Drosophila melanogaster: one gene and its partners. The protein of the gene in region 2 purifies or fractionates together with the protein of the main gene of each other region. This does not show direct contact. Each region holds a gene or a part of one and is shown on either strand. Other genes may lie near its edges.

Region 1 (7,009 bases), on a different chromosome or scaffold from region 2:
CGTCCTCCGTACATGTCCTTGTCGAAGTACCAGTACATAAAGTTGCTCCTGAGCTCCGCAAGACGGGCGGCGGTTATGGTGTATCCTCCGGCTGCCGTGGAGTATGTGGTCGGCGGGGCGACATTGTTATTGGGATCTGGAAACAGCGAGAGGAGAAGACAAATAGCTTAGAGAGGTGAGCTCTGGCCTATCATTATAATTTCACACCTAATCCGGCGAGATTACTTTTTCAATTCCACAATATTATCCCTGGCACTTGCTGCGTTGCAAGGCATAAAGTGAAAGAAAACTTTTTCCTGGCCTCTTTTGCATTTTCCGGCTGCAACTTTGCCACCCACATCCTTGCAGCTCCCGTTCCGGGTGCTTGGCCATTAAAGGTCACAGTTAATATTCATTTCTGCGCTGCAAACTTTGCTGTCTTCCTTCTTCTCTGCTACTCTTGGCCCCTTTTTCCTAATTTCGCCTCACCGCTGGCCTTTTAAAGCAATTTAAGCTGATTAAGTGCAAAGCTGACGTTCCCAATGGACACTGCAAACGTGTGCCCATGAAAGAACCCAGGATCCGCTTAAGGATATTGCTCCTGACGCTGGCCAGAAACTTAAATTGCTGGCGAAGTTTTCGTGGTGAAGTCCCGGGAAAGATTTCAAAATATTCCTGACATCCCTGGAGAGTTGTGGTTGCACCAAAAGCGGTTGACATTCATTGCATTTTGCAGGAATACTTTAATATTTTTAAGCTTTGTCTTGTACTTCTATAGTTCAATTAGCTAACTAATAAATACTTTAATTGTCTTTTGTTTTACAGAAACAATATTAGTGGGCAGTGCAGGTATCACAGTCTACTTTGCAGCATCTTTAACTTTTCATTTCGTGCCTATCCCAGCTGAATTCCCTGAATTCTATTTCACAAATTCAATTTTAATATTTAAGTTAGTTGTTATTTCAATGGAACCCGCTCCTTACATACAATTTAAGCTTCATTTATAATTCCATTAATTAATGAACCCCATTACGATCCTGACACCTCATTTCGCCTTTTGCACAGATATTTTCCCATTCCATCTGAGTTTGATTGCGTATTTCTCTTTGAATATATGGAAATTGCAGTAGTATGCTTAATGTATAACACCGTTTTTATTTCCCTCATTTCCTTCTATTATTTTGTCGGCTGTGAATTGCAGAGTGTCGGGTGAATCATTAATTGCATTGATTTTGATTTTAACGAGCCAGGTAATGAAACGTCAACAGTGTGAAGTGGCCATAAACCCCAGCGGATTGCTTGTAGAAACCCTGAACATCTGTCGCGTTTAATGTTTTTAAGCTATTTATGATTCGATACCCTCGCTAATCCTTTTTGGTGGTCCTTATAAAAGTGTGCGGATTAGCCGTCAGTCTTTTGCCAAAAATTGGTGCGCGGAAAACACGCAAAACTCGCGTGTTCGGGTTGCAATTACCGGGAAATCGCTCCTTTGAGAAATCTTCCTTTTTTACTTTCATAGCTTAGGTAGTGATCTCAGGTAGTTTCCCGGAATTAAGTTAGGCTGGGTATCGCCTATCGGGATCGGCTACCTGAACTTTTGGCACCAGCTGCCGGGGGTGAAAACTGGACCAGGTAGTCTTTAGAAGTGCACCTATATAAGGTCTGCGTTCCTGGTCTCAACAGCACATTCGTACTTCAACCGTCAACATGAGCATCAGCACTTTCAACTTCCAGTTCTACAACTACAAGCTTAGCCCGTCCTCACCGGGATTCGGCAGCACAGCCTCCCGTTCCTCGTCCTCATGCATCAGCGAACTGGAAATGGACATTGATGAGGACATGTCCGCCCAGCCCACCATCACCTCCACGCCCAAGCCGCGCTTTACCAGCCAACTGGCCGTGGAACTGGCCAAAACGGAGCCGGGTAATGGCATATCCCCACTGCGACCCAAATTGCATACGGCCCAGAAACGCTGGTCCATGGAGTTGAGGGAAAAAGTGCTGGAAATGTCCAAGCGAAATAATGGCCAGGAGAAACCACAAACCGCACGACAGCAGGAACAGCGACAGCCACAGGAACAGCCACTGCAACAGGAGGAACTGCAGCATCAGCAGCAGGAACCCACTGTCACCGACAAAATCAACTTCTTCAACAAGCTGACCAACACCTTTGAGTCGGGTTTCAGCAAGCTGATGCCCCAAGCAAGCTCCACCAACAACCGCTTCATAGCCATGTTGCGCACCGCCCGTCCTCAAAACGTTGCCACAACCACCGCCAACAGCAGCACCGCCAACAGTTTCCTGGGCAGCGACCACAGTCTCAGTGGTTCCGTGACCGGACAAGTGCCACCACCCAAGCCCAAGAGACTGTCGGCCACCACCGCCCAGTTTGCCACTCCCCATGTACCAGCCATGGGCGTGGGCAAGGGGGGCAGCCAGCGCAAGTGCTCCCTGCGCCGCAAGCCTTCGATGGACAAGTCGAGGGCCACCATCTCCCGCCAGAGTTCCAGTGCCTCAGTACGAACCCAGAACCACGCCATCATGGAGGACCTCAGTCTAGTGGTTCCCGTGAGATTGCGCATCGCGGAGTACGAGCAGCGCATCTCGATGAGTGCTTAGGTCCAGAAACTAGGTTAATTGTAAGTTCCAAAGGATTGCCTTACTTTAGTTATAAGTTAGCCTAAGCTTCTAAAGACAGTTCAAATATAAGATAAAATATAAATATATATATGAAACAAAATGTAAGCGTCTTGTTCTTGGCAAGTGAGGCATTACAAATATTACAATATTTTTAAACCATTACTCCTTTGCAATCGGTGAGTAATTCCACATATATATTTCGATATTCTATTTCTGACCAAACCCTTTTTTATTACACAGTTACATTCTAACAAATGACTGTGACTAATACGGCAAAAATTCCAATTCCGAATAGCCAATATATCAGTTCTAGGGGACTGATAAAACAGAATTGCTAAATCCACACACTACCACAGGTTGTAAACTGAATCACGCAAGACTCCGTGCTCCCGCTGTCCGCCGTGTCCACACCTATATTCGTGTGCATACATATGCGTATATTCACTATGCCACCACGCACCTGTTTTGTTTGCCGAAGCGGAAAACAAGAAACCGTTAGCTTTTTAATGCCTCAACCTGGGGCATTATCTTATCGGGAAGAACACAGAGCGAGAGAGAGAGAGAGAGAGAGAGAGGGGCTTACAGCACCTACACCTGAATGCCCGAACACAGGTTATCGAGCAAATATTGGTAACTAAACCAAACTGAAACCCACTGAGCTGTTCTGATAAGATAGTCAACGCGGCGTATGAGTAATGGGGTGGAACTGAATCAGCCCAGGGACAACGAAACCTACTCACCCCAATTGTAGCCGCTGTTGTCCACGTCGTACAGCTCCCCCAAATAGTCATTTGGCATGATGAGGGCTCCGAACATTTTCTCGGGCTTCAGTCCCGCGACGGTGAGGATATCATCTGTTCCCCGACTGCTGACATGCACCACGGGAATCAGAGTGGGCTTCTGCAGGGCCAGTGGTTTGGTTTTCGGGTTGTCCGCTTCCGCTTTTTTGGGAGCGGGCGTGGCCTTTGGAACCTCAACGAATTCCGCCTGAGCTTTGGGCTTAGTCACCTTGACCGGCTCCGGAACTGCATTGATTATTTGATCCTCGAACTCCTCCGTCGATATATTCTCGTTAGCCAGGACAAAGGCCATAAACCCGCAGGCCAGCGCACAAACCACAAACAGTTTGAAACGCATGTTCACTTGATTTCGATTTGTCACTTAATTGGTAATTCGTTTTTTCGTTTCACTGCTAAAAGAAAAACACAAAGGCATCAATTAGGCATCCACAATAAAAGTATCACTCAATAAGCACTCAATTCATGCGAATTTGTACACTATTTTTCCTCTGATATCCTCATTTTCTAACAATTTTCACTTGATGACATCATCAGTTAAGGCAATGGCTTATCAGTTCTCTTATCACTTGTCACCAATTTTCAATTTTAACTTTAATTACCAGGCAGGAAAACACGTTCGTTGCAGCGAGCCGCTCAGCTAAGACTGAAGTTAAGTTAACTCTAACGGCCCGATCGGGGCGTTGCCAAAACTCAGTTCACCTGTCGCCGTCTACTCGATTGTGAAACATTGCCTTATCGGCCAGATAAAGCTAGGCATATCTTATCAATGGAATACTACGCACCGATAACGCATTCCTTCTTCGGCCCGCTTGGCTTTTTCGGGAAGCTTCACTCTCTTCTCTGTGCTCCAAATTTACCAACCTATTTGTTTATGCCCATTCGTGGGACCGTTACCTATATTTCTCTCTGTTGACAATGGTCTCTGGCAGATTTGTGATTCACTTCCATTACAGTTAATCATACTCATGACGCGGCCATTTTGTGAAAAGCTGAATGGGCTGTAAAGCCTAAACATGTATGTGTGTGATGCGAAATTGATGAGAGCACGCTTCCGGTTTAATTATAGACAATGACCCATTACCGACCATTAATAGGCATTTCCGATGAAGCTTTAGAGTTATGAATATCAGCCGCCCGTAAAAAAGCCTACTGATGGATTTCATTAGGACATGAAAGTGTCATGGTCCTCATTAATGAAGAAATCAAGTGCAGAGTGGGGAACTCCAAATTAATAAAATCAAAGCGTTTTGAGGATCAACTTGTGTGACTAAAAGGGTATTATAAAACAATAATGCAGATAAACATTGCTATAATAAAAATCGAAGGATAAGATATATTTTTATAGTGGTTATTGTTAGGGGAAAATTGGTGTTGAAAATGTACCCCATATATCTTTTAAACAAACGACAGCATAATTATGTATAAAATATATATATAAATATAAAAATGTTTTTAACTATGGTACAGTTCATTTCAATATATTCCTGAGCATATGTATGACTAATTTAATGGATACAACTCTTCCCTCTCTCAAAGGCAATCCATTATTGGCCAACGAACCTGTTGCATTATCAGCTTTAGTTAACTGATAAGAAACTATTTTGAAATTCATTATCATCTCATACATGTGTTTAACAAGCGCTCTGTTAATTAACAGCGATCATATCACACCACCAGCCCAAAAGTAGGCACTACTTTTCGGAGGGATTTGTTCTCTCCCGGTTTATTTCCCAGCTTATCAGCAATTTAGTTTATTTGGAATATGGGGGTCCCGGCTTCAAACAAAAGTGAATTGCCCTTAGTTCTGGGTCGAACGGCGGCGAGAAGAGACCGCGATTTCGCTGCGAACTTATCAGGTGATCCGGCATACACGCCTCGTTTTTAATCCATCAGCATGCTGCGTTATCTGGCGCTTTCGGAGGCGGGAATCGCAAAACTGCCACGCCCACAATCGCGGTGCTATCACAGCGAAAAGGGCGTTTGGGGCTATAAGCCGATTGCCCAGCGTGAATTTCAAGGTACGGTTGTAAACAAGTGTGTTGCCAAGACTTCAATAAAAACCTCATCCGTCGAGATAACCATCGCATCGATAAGAGTCTTTCGGGATCAAACATTCATATGAATGGGCAGTGGAAATCTACCCAAGCAAAAAGAAAAACCGACGAAGTGACATTGTGTGCGTGTGTGTGCGTTCGTGTCGGATTTTCCAGCCGGCTATTTATCAGCGGAATTCAAGCAGCTGACCCACAACAATCCCCGCAGAAACTGCAATAAAACAACAGCCTGAACAAGAGATCAAGTGCAAATTGCTGTGGGTGAATTCGAAAACCAGTTTAAAGAAGATATATCATTTGTATACCCTGTAATCGGAGGGTATATACGGGAATACGTATGGATACCTAGGATTATTTTCACTAACTTCAGGTTTAACTTAATTTCGCAAAATATTTTTTAAATTGAAGTTCATTGTTTATGCCTCTCATACTATCGAGAAAGAACAGCTCCTGTTGACTGGTGGAATATTTTTTATGGTTTTAATGTTACCGTCTTTCCTGTTACCTACCCAAGCTAATCTCCACGTTCTCAGCTTATCACATGTTTTCACTCTGAAATCTGATAAACCCGAAATATATGGCGCTACACCCAGTACCCCGAATTTATAATTAGAATGAGGAGATTGTGGCAGACCCCCCGTGCAGTGCACTAATTAAGTGAAGAGAGGCGGATGTCCAGTGCAGAGATACTATATCTTTTCCCAAAACGCACGGCAGGGAGTCCAAAAAGGACCCGGCTAAATATCAAAGCCCGGCAAACAAAGGACCCCAAAACGGGAGCTTCTTTGTGCTTGTCCTGCATCCGTTGCGTACACAATTGGGGCTTATCGACACCATGGCCAACAGACACCAGTCACCAGTTGGTAGTTGGTAGTTGGATAGTCTGCCAGGAGCCTTTGACTGGGCACCAGAGGAAAGCCTTCAACGCTTGACCATGTGACATCAGGCGCCTAGGATGATGCACATAGAGAAAATCAAGTCTAGGATTTACTCAGGCTTTGGAAAAGTATGTTAGATATTCTAAAGCAAACCCAATTGACCAGTATTTTGAATTATGGTAAAGCGTACTAAAACTGACTTTAAGCGTTAGTTTTGCCTCAGTGTAGTATCGGTATAATTCGCCTTGTTTGCCGTTCGTCCTTTGGCTGCATTTCTGTCAGGGCAATCATTATCCTTGGCAAAGGACGCGCCGCTGTGCTCCAATAATATTTACACGCTCAAGCTGAAATGTTGTCACCGCAAATACAATTCATCATACACCCTGTGCTCCTGTCCAAGCGACCTACTCTTTAACATTAAATTGATTTATGGCCGAAATGCCGTCGAGAAATTGCATAAATTTCTGAGGACGACTTGGGGTCGGTCTAACTGGCAAATGCCAGCTGTCCCACGGATTTCGAATTTTCAGGGTACTGTAATCGAGTGATATGCGTCATCGCATATAAATCCTGTAAGCAGGATAACACTTTAACACGTAAACACCTAAGCAGCCAACGAGTTGTCAATGGCTCAACCAGGGAATAAAATATCCCAACA
Region 2 (6,262 bases):
TCCCATTTGCAGGCAATGCTGGCCGACAATGCCGACGAGGTGGTGCTTGAGACGGAGATGCGTAACCAGCCGGCTTTGCGGCTCTACGAGAACTTGGGCTTCGTGCGAGATAAGCGGCTGTTCCGCTACTATCTTAACGGGGTGGACGCGCTGCGGCTGAAGCTCTGGTTTAGATGAGTGGACCCGGCGGCTGCCGTTGAAATTGTTGTCTAAGTAGCCGCCGAAGATGTCGAGATCTGCGCTCTGCGGAGGACCAGGGCGCTCCCCTCGTCCTGGGTCCTGGCCAGCTGGCAGCTTGTATCGGCGCCCTCTTTTTTGTACCTATTTAACTAGGAAGCATCGTAGCATCAGTTTATTTTCTCCCCAACTCACACCGTCCCTTGTCTCTCTTTCATTTGTAAATTATTTTATTATGTAGCAGCAGCAGTACGAGCAACATCTGCTACATATGCAGGAGCAGCACGAGCAGCACACAACGGACCCGAAATTTGGTTAATTTTACAGGAGGCAATTTTGTATGCAATACGTGATTTACATGCATAAAATTAAGCATTAAAGTCGTAAGCAAGCAATTAGTTATGTACATTAAACAATCTACAAAAACCAATCTAGGGAATAGACAACAACATGAAGCAGCAGCGCAGCACACGCTCATCGACGCCCATTTACAAAGCTATAAACATAGTATCAAATTTTGTAAAAAGATCAATCAAAGCGATGATCGCGCAAGTCGAACGATAAACTCGATCATGTATATCAAAATAAACGCAATTGGAACCAAGAGCTGAGAACAGACACACAAAAATGCAGCCTCATATGCATACTTGTATACAAACCTTCAATGGGTGGATGGCGGTGGTCCTCGCGGCTAAGAAAACTCGCCATCTGGTCTTAAGTAACCTCTCTGTGCTCTCCAGAAACACGTAACACGTAGCGATAAGGATAAAGATGTGGTGGATCCCGAGTAACATTGAAAGAACGCAATAAAATCTTCAACAAATGCGAAAATCCTGCCTTCTGTTCTTTAGTTTAGCACAACTTGGGGAATAGCGAGCTTGTTTGGAAGTTTGTGTGGTGTTTTCCAATTGAGAAACTATATGCCAGTACGGTATTTTCGTTTTATTATCATAAAAAACAGAATTATAACTACTCGAACTAGGAAAGTATGTCTTACGGATAACTACTCATCCACAAAGTCAAATAATGACTGCTTCCTTCGGCTCTTTTTGACGTGCCCCACCGATCTTTCCCTGCCCTGCCACACTTGGTCGCATTCGTCAACAACAATCGGTTTCAATACTCAAAGTCGGATCGATCATGGACTTATCCTAACTAGCAGGAGGTTTTAAAGTATGAACAACATTCAATTCAGCCAACGGCGGCTGCCCTAACCTTAAGCTGGACTCACCATGAATGTGAAGTTGTGGCTTATCCTAAGTATGTATGTACATGGGCGGTGTCAGTCTCGGAAACATCACCTGCTTCGCCGTCGATTATTGGGACTGCTCGTCGGAACTGAGCTGCCTGATCCGCGCAGCTGCTTTAGTTCGGAGCGCGTAGCAGCCTTGATGCTCTGCACCTGCTGCCGCACAGAGGCACTCTTGTAGGTTATGGCTGGTGTGGGAGGAGTTGAGCTGGACGTTGCTCCCGCCTCCTTCTGTTCGAAGAGATCGCTCACTTCGACCATGCGCGGCTTGAAGAACATGTTCGGCCGGATGACGGCCTTTTCGGGATGCTTAAACAGGTTCAACAGGCCGCAGGAGAGCTCCTGGCCGTCGCCCTCCGGAACGGAGGCATTCTCCACCTCCGACTCCAGAACCCAAGCCGCGTTCCGCACCTCGATGCGCAGTCGTTCACACTCCTCCAGGCTAACATTTTTGCTCACATTTAGCAACTGCTCCAGTGGGTTTACGATGTACATGGCCGAGTGATCCGGCTTGGACAGCGGCTTTCCCTCGTTCAAAGATATCGCACGGTTGTGGAAGTCGAACTGCGAGTAGAACTCGAAGAACTGCAGCAACAACTCGCTCAGCGAGCTTTGGTTTCGACTCCTGAAGCCCAGACGATCCACATTCCGGGTGAAGGTGCAGTTGATCCCGTCCTCGGTGACCCGCGAGTCCCCTGGCTCCGCCGCCTTGGCCAGCGCTCCAATTGTGGGAAGGATGGGCTGGCGCAGCTGCTGCAGGAAGAACATGACCAGGCAGGTGAGCGAGAAGTTGCTGATCCAGCGACCAGGCGAGGGATTCGTGAGGCCGCAGGTCTGCGCCCAGCGCCGAATGGTAAAGGTCAACGGCCGTACGCGCGGATCCATTTCACCGAACATGTAAAGCAGTTCCGACATATAAAAGCCAGTGCTGGAAGAGGGATTGCGTTTAAAACCATCTTCTTAAAACATATTTAATGCCAACATGCAATACTGATCGCCCCAAAGGCGGGAAGGTAAAAACGGGCGTGGCCTCGTTTAATGAGACAACCAGCGGTGTGTAGCCCGCTGACCCCCACCAATGGCCGGATATGCGTGCAGCGGGTACTTATCAGGGGCGGATGAATGGGATGTGAATCATGGCCATCGGCACGCCAGGGAAGTCAGTGCCGCGGAGAGAACTGATTCACCTGCTCACCTGCGGGAGAGCAGCGTACCATTTACACATATACACGACATTTGGCAATCGCCACCTGCCGCTATCTTATCTTATCGAGCTGATGAAGCTTTCTTATCTAAGGCCGCTCTCCCTCCCCTGCCTGACTGTACGGCCCCACTAGCCTGGATGTTGTCACCGCCGCGTATCTCAGCCGAGCCGCAAGTCTGGTCAAAACGATTTCAACGAACGAGCCCAACGGACATCTGTTTCTAGTCCGCCACTGAGCTAGCTATTTTTTTCTTCCGACCCCACGAGAATCGACCCAAGCAAGGTGAATCCTAGTAAAAAGTGCCTACAAATTCCCATTTCTACGAAATGATAAATGGATGGTCCATTTTTTTTAAGTGCTATTGAAGAAGTGTTGAATTTCGGTATGGGTACCACACCCAAAAGACAGTTTCCCAATGGATAAACGTATCTACACAAAACGTCTTACAAAAGTTGATTTTAAGTGATGCTTGGAGGATGTTACTCAGGTGCACAGGGATACGCCCGCAGCTCCAGTACCTGGCCCATTTCAATACTCTTGAATAGTTTGGTGTTGCAATTGCTCGTATTAATCATCTAGTGCGTGGCTGATAACGCTATTTGCTAAACACAGCTCCGATAAGGCCAACGATGATACAGTGAACGGCGGGAAAGGGCGGGGAGAATCAACCATAAATGCCAAGCAACATCGTGATTAATAGGCGCGACCAGGGCGAGCTTTTGGTATGTGACTCAATGGAGCTCCTCGAAAATGAGCAAGGATCAATGCACCGTCTAAATAGTGCTTCTATCAAGTAGCGCCTCCTTTGTCCTGGGTTTTCAGATCACGCACTTGTCATCATCCACCTAATGATCCTTCTCTTGCCTTGCAGCTTCCGAAACGATGGGCATCGGCTATGGAGCCTCCGACGAGCAGCTGGAGAAGCAAATTGGCTGCGTGAAATACACGCTATTTTGCTTCAACATCGTGGCCTGGATGATATCCACAGCGCTGTTCGCCCTAACCGTCTGGTTGAGGGCTGAGCCCGGCTTCAACGACTGGCTGCGCATCCTGGAGGCACAGTCCTTCTACATCGGCGTGTACGTGCTCATCGGCATCAGCATTGTAATGATGGCCGTCAGCTTCCTCGGCTGCCTGAGCGCGCTCATGGAGAACACCCTGGCTCTGTTTGTGTTCGTGGGCACCCAGGTCTTTGGGTTCATCGCCATTGTGGCCGGGTCGGCGGTCCTATTGCAGTTCAGCACTATCAACTCGAGCCTGCAGCCGCTGCTGAATGTATCGCTGCGCGGCTTTGTGGCCACATCGGAGTATACGTACTCGAACTACGTGCTGACCATGATTCAGGAGAACATAGGTTGTTGCGGGGCCACCGGGCCATGGGATTATCTCGACCTGCGCCAGCCACTGCCAAGCTCCTGCCGCGACACCGTCAGCGGCAACGCCTTCTTCAACGGATGCGTGGACGAGCTGACCTGGTTCTTCGAGGGCAAAACCGGCTGGATTGTGGCTCTGGCCATGACGCTCGGCCTGCTCAACGTCATCTGCGCGGTGATGAGCTTTGTGCTTGTGCAGGCGGTCAAAAAGGAGGAGGAACAGGCCAGCAACTACCGCCGCTGAAGACCAGCCTCGTTAATTTAGTTAGTAGCGACAAGTGACCCTTCGATAGATCTAAGAATTCATACCCAGTTCGAACAATAAGTACAATAAAGATTGCGACCCTCACAAGGAAAGGTGTCTCAGCGGACGGGAATCACAGATTGCTTGCCAACAGACAGACGAATGGTGGTATAAGCAGGCACACAGCACTTAGCACATAGCACTTACAGGTTACTCATGGAGAGGTCCACCTCCAGGTCCAGATGCTCATGGTGGTACTTGATGATGGGCACCCTCGCCTGCAAAATACGTCTCACATGGCACACGCCGGGCAGGAACAGATGCAGCATATCTCCAAAACATTCCATGTGCCTTTGCGTCTGCGAGCGTCCGTTGCTCAGGTTCTCCTTGGTGTGGTACACGAGTCGCGAGGGCACCGCCGCCTCCAGTGGGATCTTAGCTCCCATATCGCTGTCAAAGCGCAGGATGAGGTCCAGGTCGCAGCCCATTCGCCCAAATCCGTTGACCGACGAGCCAAAGGGCTGTGCCTGGGCGGCGGGAAACATGCCGGCAATGGCCTGCTGCACCTGTAGGGCGGCTAGAAAGCGCATACGGATTCCCAGCTCATTCAGGCGCGTGTGCTCGTACAGCTGCTGCACCTGCTCTTCGATGTCCGCTGCACCACGTAAGAGCCCCAGTAGGTGGCGCTGATCCACCTGCCGGGTGCCGTCCAAGGATAGCAGTGCGGGCGCTGTATTGGCAACTAGCTTGGGGCTCCGTCTGCCTCCTCCCGCTGCCCGGAACCACAGAAAGGGAGATCGCACGGGCACGCCGCTCAGCTCGCCATTGGTAACGCCCGCTCCGATGGCAGCCGCCGCCTCGTCCGACGTGGCGTACTCCAGCAGGATGTAGTGCAGGGTCTCGTCCTGCCGCACGCAGTAGTGGTGGGCACCCATGATCGAGCCGAAGCTGCTGCAGTAGTTATACAACTCCTCATACGACTTTTCGGAGCTCACCTGGACCACAATGCTGCACTGGGCCTGTCGCTGATGACGGCCAATGAACTCCTCGTAGTTGGGCCTGCCTGTTGGCGAACATGGACAGTGGTAGTAATATTAAACAGAACAGATCTCGGCCAGAATCGGCTCACCTGCGTTCCGTCCGGGAGAAGCCGCCTCTGAAGCATTGTGCTTTATGCAATATGTACGCCAGAGGCTCAGCTGCTGGGCGCTGCGTCGCACTAAGCTGTTCATGGCGGGCTTGGGGTGTGGGCAGGTCAAGTCCTAGGCCCACTTGGTGTGGGTGATTTCGGATCTGGAATTTAACCGAATATTGTTGGGCTGTATTTTTGAGGTTAGGTCGAGTTGGTTATCGGTCGCGTTCGCTGGGTGTGCAGCCCTGGTCCCAAAACCGTGGCTTATTTTAGCATTCTTAAGAGTTAGATGATAACAAAACATATCATTTTGCCATCCTAAGCACATTATAGCTCCACTTTCATTTAGGCAATCACCATTAGTGCAGAGGTTTTTGCAATGCCAATCTTCCAAAAGAAGCTTATGCATCCCTGAAAATCTATCGATTACTCTAGGTGGCGCCAAACTCAAAAGTTTGTAATTTCATAAACTTTTTATTTCACGTCCCAGTTATTGTGTTATTATTGTTATTATTACATGCGGGTTTTGCCGTGGGATGAACGGGCTTCGTAAAACTAGGTTTAATTAGACTAAACACGTACAAAAGGGACACGATTGGGTATATTTTTTAAATATACGTTAGTTAGTCATCTTCCTAACACTCCTGGATCGGTTACATTAGTCAATCAACGTGAGGTGTATATATCGGATATATGCGAGTGATATATATACATATATTGGGTGTATATAGAGTGCGGTTATTGCTGATATCGTATGCCGAGTGAGTGTACGCGGGTACAGGTTTATATATATTATCAATTAGGACTGTTATTGTCCACCGACATGGTAATACAGGATTATAGCTTAGCTTAGGTGTTGTTTGTGTTATGTGGCTCATTCTT
Region 3 (6,045 bases), on a different chromosome or scaffold from region 2:
ACCCCGAAAGCAGCGGAGAACCACTGGCACAGCACTCGCCTGATAAGGATAACGACACGAAGCTGCACTTCGGCAGTCCTGGTTCGGCCTGGTTAAACAAGGCGGCCCTGTCATATGCCTAGGCCCACAAAAAGGTCTATGACTGTATTGCCACAGTGGTGTTTCGAAAAGTAGAGCTGGAAACTTCAAATAGCATACAAATAGAAAATCAAAGGAAATCGGATTTTGAAAAATCTAATTTTGTAAATATCCTTTAATATTACATATAATTTGCACGGTACTGGAAAGTTACAGATCAAATTACAACTAATAGAGTTCGCAAATCAGTGCAAACACCAGATATTTTAATTAACTTGAAAAGAAAACTACATTTACTGCAAGTTCATAGGTTATATTGCACTTTTTATAAACACTGCCAAGTTAATATTTTTGCCTCGTCTGTGAGTTGGTGCGTTTAGTATTCTATGAATATGAATACAAGCGTTTGGCAAATGTCATAAAACGCCGGTCAAATACATTTTCTTCAATTTGCAAATATTTAGGGGTTGAAAAGGATGTTTGTTCAACGCAGAACGTTTAGATTAATTGAAAGTCAAGTGCTAAATAACTCATAAATCGCTTAAAGTTTTCAGCTCTGAAGCATATGTACAATATAAGTTTACCGCAATATTTAGAGTGGCGAAAACTTTTAAATTTTGATATAAATCTCTCTTACTCTCACTTTTACCTCTCTCTCTCTTTCTCGAGCTTTGTGCGCAAAAGTAAACAAACGCAACTTTCATTCATAAATAGCAACAACGCAACCGGCGAAATCGAATCAAACTGATAATCAAAACAAAACCGAAAGCTCTCCAAAGCAGTGCTCTTCGTAATTCTCTGACTCACTTTTCGACTGTCTAGCGAATTAATTTAAATACGCCCACTAAGATTGAACTGAAATCTCATTACCAAATCGCCGTCACACCTCATTGACGCCAGTCCAAGTAAGGCAGGTAAGTTTCCCCAAAAGGTGTGCAAGTGGTCATAAGTTACTTACTGCTGTCTCTGTATCTGTATCTGAGGAATATTCTCGCTTGACATAGACTTTACAGTGCTGTAATGTAATGCCTGTAAAGCGTCGCTGTAGGAGTCTGGCTGCTACAGAACCATGCTGCAAGTGCGCTTAAGTTTAAGTTCTGACCAGTCGACTTTTTCACAGCCGAAATGCGAATTATATATATATATTATAATTATATATATAATATATATGTCCAATCTATACATATTGATTTCGTTTCGGTTCGCTCTACAAGTACTGAAGCATACATACATCGTTTATTTATGTGTGCTATCCATTGAATACATCTCAATCACTTTAATATCGTGACGCTTGAAGGCACACGAAAGCTGATAGCTACGAGGCGATTCGCTCTTTATTCTCTTCTTACTTAATTAAGAGAGGCCACCACACGAGAACTGCACTTGTGTTGGTGTAAGTTGCATGCCGGTTTTTGTTGTTCTGACGCCGATTTTTCCCCACCTCTCTGAATGCTTGATGATTCATCGCAACAAACCAAATGCAGAGGAGACAAATTCCAAATTTAACGTCGCTTGCTTTCTGGGACTCCACATGGGGATTTGAGAAGTGGGGAAGAATCCGCGGTGCTGAGCGGCATTCGCAATGGGGGAACGAAAACAAAGAACTCGACAACCTTTGGCCTTGATTTGGGAAGATATTCCTTTGCTTATCCAGGCATCAGACAACTTGCATTTAAAATGGAAAGCAGATCTATGTAAATAAATCAGTATCCATGTACCTTGCTCAAATTTAATTTTATTACCTTTAATTAAATAAATCTTATTCAATTACTTGTTTTCCCTAAGCAAATACTATTCTTAAGGCATTCAAGCACGTTTAATCACATTTTAAAAACTTGTATACAAAAGAGACAATTTCCGCTAAAACAACATATTTATTTTGAAAAGCTTAGGTTGGAAAGTTAGTTGTATGCTAAAATTAAATTTTCTGAAATGAAATCCAATAATACCCTCGGCACAGCGTAAATAATACTTGTTTATATATAGTACTCATGAATATCAGTGTGTATACTTGCTACTCAATGCGGGTCATAAAAAAAACCCTTGATGAGGTGTGATCTCATGTTTGTTCCATGTTCTGAACTTATGATTTATACAAGCACATTTTAATGTCGGCCTTAAATACAAAACACAGGGCACGAGGTGCCAAATGTGCAGTATAGTTAATTTCCCACGCCCTCCAAACTTATGCAATTATTCATTTGTCCAAAAACCATATGCATCCATTTTCAATTAGTTTTTAAACATTGAATTTAGAAACAAGGGACTGTAACTATTTCTAACTAAGTTCTTTCTTTTCTTCGTGACCTGAAAATTGTTTGCTTTTCATGTTACACAGTGTTCTTAAAACGCACCATTCATCCAAGAGTTGTATTTTTATACACCATTTTACTGTGATAAATAGGCAATATGTAAATCGAGGAACCCCACATCAACCGCAAGTTGCTTTTTTGCTCCCCAATTGCTCCTATCATTTTGCATTGTGCTCTTCCAATTGATTCGAAATCTCGAACATGGGCCACCTACAGCCACGATTATTGTGCTAGGGTTGTGATAATTGAAATGCAGATTAGGTTCCAGTGACTTTTTGTGTGTCTGAGACTTTTTAATCAGTAGCTGGAATCCACTGGGCTATCGATCATCGGAATCGTGACAAGGTCAGTGAATTTTTAATCTGTTCGAGGGATGCACCACCGGGAGCTTTATCAGTGGGAATGGGAATGGGTCACCACGAAAGTATTTCAGAAATACATCGATGACGCAAGAATAATTGTTTCCGGTCTCTCAGAGCCGCGGGTATGTTTCCCCGTTTTGTGGCTTTGTGGCCGCCATGAATAATGTGTAACAATGCTGTGGAAAGCGGCAAATCGGAGCACCTGATATATCGCGATGTAAGGCGACAGAGCTGCGATAAGGCCGTTTTGATAAGATACGCGGGTGGGGCTGGCGCATGCGCATCTGGGTTTCATTGGGCTTCGGAGCCTGAACATGTTGAACCGTCAACGAATTAGTAACCCATTTCGAACGGCACCTGTTATCGTGAGCCCTATCTTATCTTATCGCTGACCGTGTATGCTCTGATTGCAAAAGCTACAAATTCTTGGCGACACGACGAACTGGGCGCGACAGGTTGGTTGGTTGCCTTTCAGTGATATTTTTCAGTTTAGTCGACGAACGACAACGATACGAAAACGAATCATTTCGCTGTAGTTTCCGCGTGAAAATTACAGAAAAGATTGTGAGTGCCCCTTGACTGGGAGAAACCCCTCTGTGAACTAAAGCATTTGCCCAAATTCCAGCTCAGCGATAAGAGCAATCAGCATATCTAGTGCGAAATGGTGTCCGTGGAGACTGTAGGCTCTATTTTCATCAAGGCCCTGAAGCTGGTAAGTTTTGGGCTTCTTTGGTCCCTTCCTATTGAGCAATAGCCTGTTTGTGGTCGCAATAACTCGGCTGATAGATAAGCGCGCGTTTTATCAGTCCTGGCGTATTAGCAATGTTACTCATACGCCGAGTTGTACGGCAAGGCGAGGCGTGGCCAAGAAGTGATTCATTCATTCCCATTCCCAATTGTGACCTCATTTAATTGCTCTCCTGTGCGCTCCTTTTTCGCAGATCATCAATCTGGTGATCATCTTCTTGTACCGTTGGGGCGATGGTGGCGAATTCCTGGGCATCGGCGGCACGTGGAACTTAAACGAGGAGAAGAGCGCCGATGCGGAAATCGTAGCCTCAGGCGTCATGGTTGGATTCTTGATTTACACTGGATGCCACACCATTGCCTTTGCCTTCGGCACAACCAAACATAAGGGGTATGTTGAATGCCGATATTGATTATAGCTGAACTTTGACCCGCATCTTATTCCTTTTCTTGTATTTTCCGCCCTTAATTCCACACTCTCAACTCACAACTGTTTGTTTTCAATGGCTTTCCGTTTTTCAGAGAGCTGTGCGACACCATCATGAACGTGGTTGGCTGCATCATGTGGATCGCCGTGGGCGGAGTGGCACTCCACTACTGGAAGGGTTACATGTCCGACGAGGGATTCCTGTATGTGAACTCGGAGCGTCAAGTGGGCATTGCCATGGGCTCGCTGTGCGTTATCGAGGGCGCACTGTACCTGCTGGACACCGTGTTGGCTTGCATACACTATTCGAAGGGCGACACCGACTACACGCAGTAGAAACTGAATAGTGGGGATACCAATCGCAGCCGCCGAATAAACACCATCCACATTTGTCTTTATACATAGATCGATTTAAGTGCAAATTAGTTATTATCCGCAATCAATTATCAACTATACGTTCGTAAGGGTCAATTGTCGCTGTACTATACACTAACTGTTTACAATTTTCATTCACGTTTAACATCCTTAAATTGGCAAATACAAATAGTTAAGACCACGCCACGGATAAAAGTTTTTGTGCATTTGGGAACTAATTAAGGGGATGCAATGGAATGCCACTTACTAGTAAGTATCAATTGTAACCTAAATCAACTAATTACCATCAGAACCCATTGATCGTGTTGCTCAGTTTCTTTTTTTCTGATATCATTGCAATTAATGAAAGATTATTTATATATATCATACATCATACGTAAGCATTTTGCTAATTTTTGTCAAAAAACGACAACTTAGATTTGTTGACTAAACTTTTCGACTTTAAACTAACACCCAATCGAAATTTCATATTCCAAGCGATCTGATACTGATATATTGTAATTGGTGAGATATTTCATTTGTTTTTAGTACTAGTACTAGAGAACCTATTGCTCTCCAAGAACCTAATATTCTTTTAAAGAACTTGATGGAAAACTAAACTAATTGTTTAGGAACTGATGCACACAGGAAAAATGTCAGACGATTCGCAGAATTTGGTATATATCACTCATTTCTTTGCTGAGAACAGAGTTCATGAGTTGTTCAACCAAATCGATGACGCTTCAAGACGAACCTCCTCTGGAACCATGAAACTGCAACTTCCGGTGCAAATCGAAAGCGTTCAACGAAGCATTGATAAATCGGAATAAAGCCCTATATTTATCGGTCAGCTATACGCAGAAGTCTTTATGGCAATGAGTCAAAGATTAAACGGTACAGTCAAAACTACACACATTACGTAAATGCATATGGTGTATAAATAAATAAAAAAAAAAGGTTAGTCACCCTTAACTTTGCAACTGAAGAACTTATAATATTTGAATATGATCATCTTTTTTAAAATCTTTCAATAAGATCAAATCTTGCGTATAAATTAACAAGAGCTGAGCTCAACTCACCTGTTTTCCTGGCTTCCCCCGCCCGTCCACTGCATCCCGTTCCCGCTGCTGCTGCTGCTGCCGCATGCTTCTGCTCCTCCAAACGCCCGTCATACGGAAGAGGCACCGCAGGTCCACCGAGCCGTCCTCCAGATTGAGGGCATCGAAGAGCACCGCCTGATCATGGATGAAGGAGTTCCGCGTGCGCTGATTCAGCAGATCCAGGGTTCGCGAGTCCAAGCTCTCTCGATAGACATTATGTACGCGGTCCAGATTGTGCTCGTAGGCGGTGTCCAAATTGAAGGCACTGTTCAGGCTGGCCATGCTGCTCCTACCCTCCAGCGAGGTCTTGCTTCTGCCCTCCAACGAGGTCTTGCTCCTCCTGCGGCGCATCACCACCGTCCTGACCGACTCATCCATAGATGAGCCAAGGTGGACGGAGGTGCGCGAGTTGTCGCCCAGCGGAGAGGGCGAATGCGAGTGGGCCAGCGCCGAAGGCGGCAGCGGCAGCTGGGTGGCGATGGTCACCGGCTGTTCCGCCAGACTCATCAGCGATTGCTGGCGCTCCAGTTGCTTCTCGTAGCCATTGAACTTGTCGTAGTCGATGAAGGACATGTTGGCGTAGCTAACCATATTATCGATAGCCTGCAGGGATTGCAACGAGGCACTCCATTTGGGATTCATCTTCTCCTTTTTCTCGGCTCCGC

What was found. The genes of interacting proteins can lie anywhere in the genome.
Region 1: the proteins of Tsp2A (region 2) and mesh purify together in Drosophila melanogaster (affinity purification with western blotting, with the first as the bait; one study listed by BioGRID). This does not show direct contact.
Region 3: the proteins of Tsp2A (region 2) and Ssk purify together in Drosophila melanogaster (affinity purification with western blotting, with the first as the bait; one study listed by BioGRID). This does not show direct contact.

The regions. Positions count from the first base shown.
Region 1 is NT_033777.3:31,191,699-31,198,707, forward strand, and holds the start of mesh (mesh), read right to left. Parts: upstream 4,065-7,009; 5' UTR 4,019-4,064; intron 3,812-4,018; 5' UTR 3,757-3,811; coding exon 3,360-3,756; intron 2,692-3,359; exon of another isoform or gene 2,599-2,691; coding exon of another isoform or gene 1,687-2,598; exon of another isoform or gene 1,664-1,686; intron 137-1,663; coding exon 1-136. Other genes in the region: bnk (bottleneck), read left to right, coding at 1,687-2,598; CG1544 (uncharacterized protein), read left to right, coding at 5,314-5,437.
Region 2 is NC_004354.4:1,343,767-1,350,028, forward strand, and holds Tsp2A (tetraspanin 2A), read left to right. Parts: upstream 1-2,786; 5' UTR 2,787-2,913; intron 2,914-3,318; exon of another isoform or gene 3,319-3,353; intron 3,354-3,502; 5' UTR 3,503-3,513; coding exon 3,514-4,248; 3' UTR 4,249-4,377; downstream 4,378-6,262. Other genes in the region: Naa30A (N(alpha)-acetyltransferase 30 A), read left to right, coding at 13-177; MTPAP (mitochondrial poly(A) polymerase), read right to left, coding at 1,475-2,354, 4,456-5,311, 5,378-5,480. UniProt on the Drosophila melanogaster protein: Required for assembly of smooth septate junctions (sSJs), together with Ssk and mesh. Important for barrier function of the midgut epithelium.
Region 3 is NT_037436.4:20,185,299-20,191,343, forward strand, and holds Ssk (snakeskin), read left to right. Parts: upstream 1-3,223; 5' UTR 3,224-3,413; coding exon 3,414-3,464; intron 3,465-3,693; coding exon 3,694-3,890; intron 3,891-4,021; coding exon 4,022-4,262; 3' UTR 4,263-4,481; downstream 4,482-6,045. UniProt on the Drosophila melanogaster protein: Required for assembly of smooth septate junctions (sSJs), together with mesh and Tsp2A. May be important for barrier function of the midgut epithelium.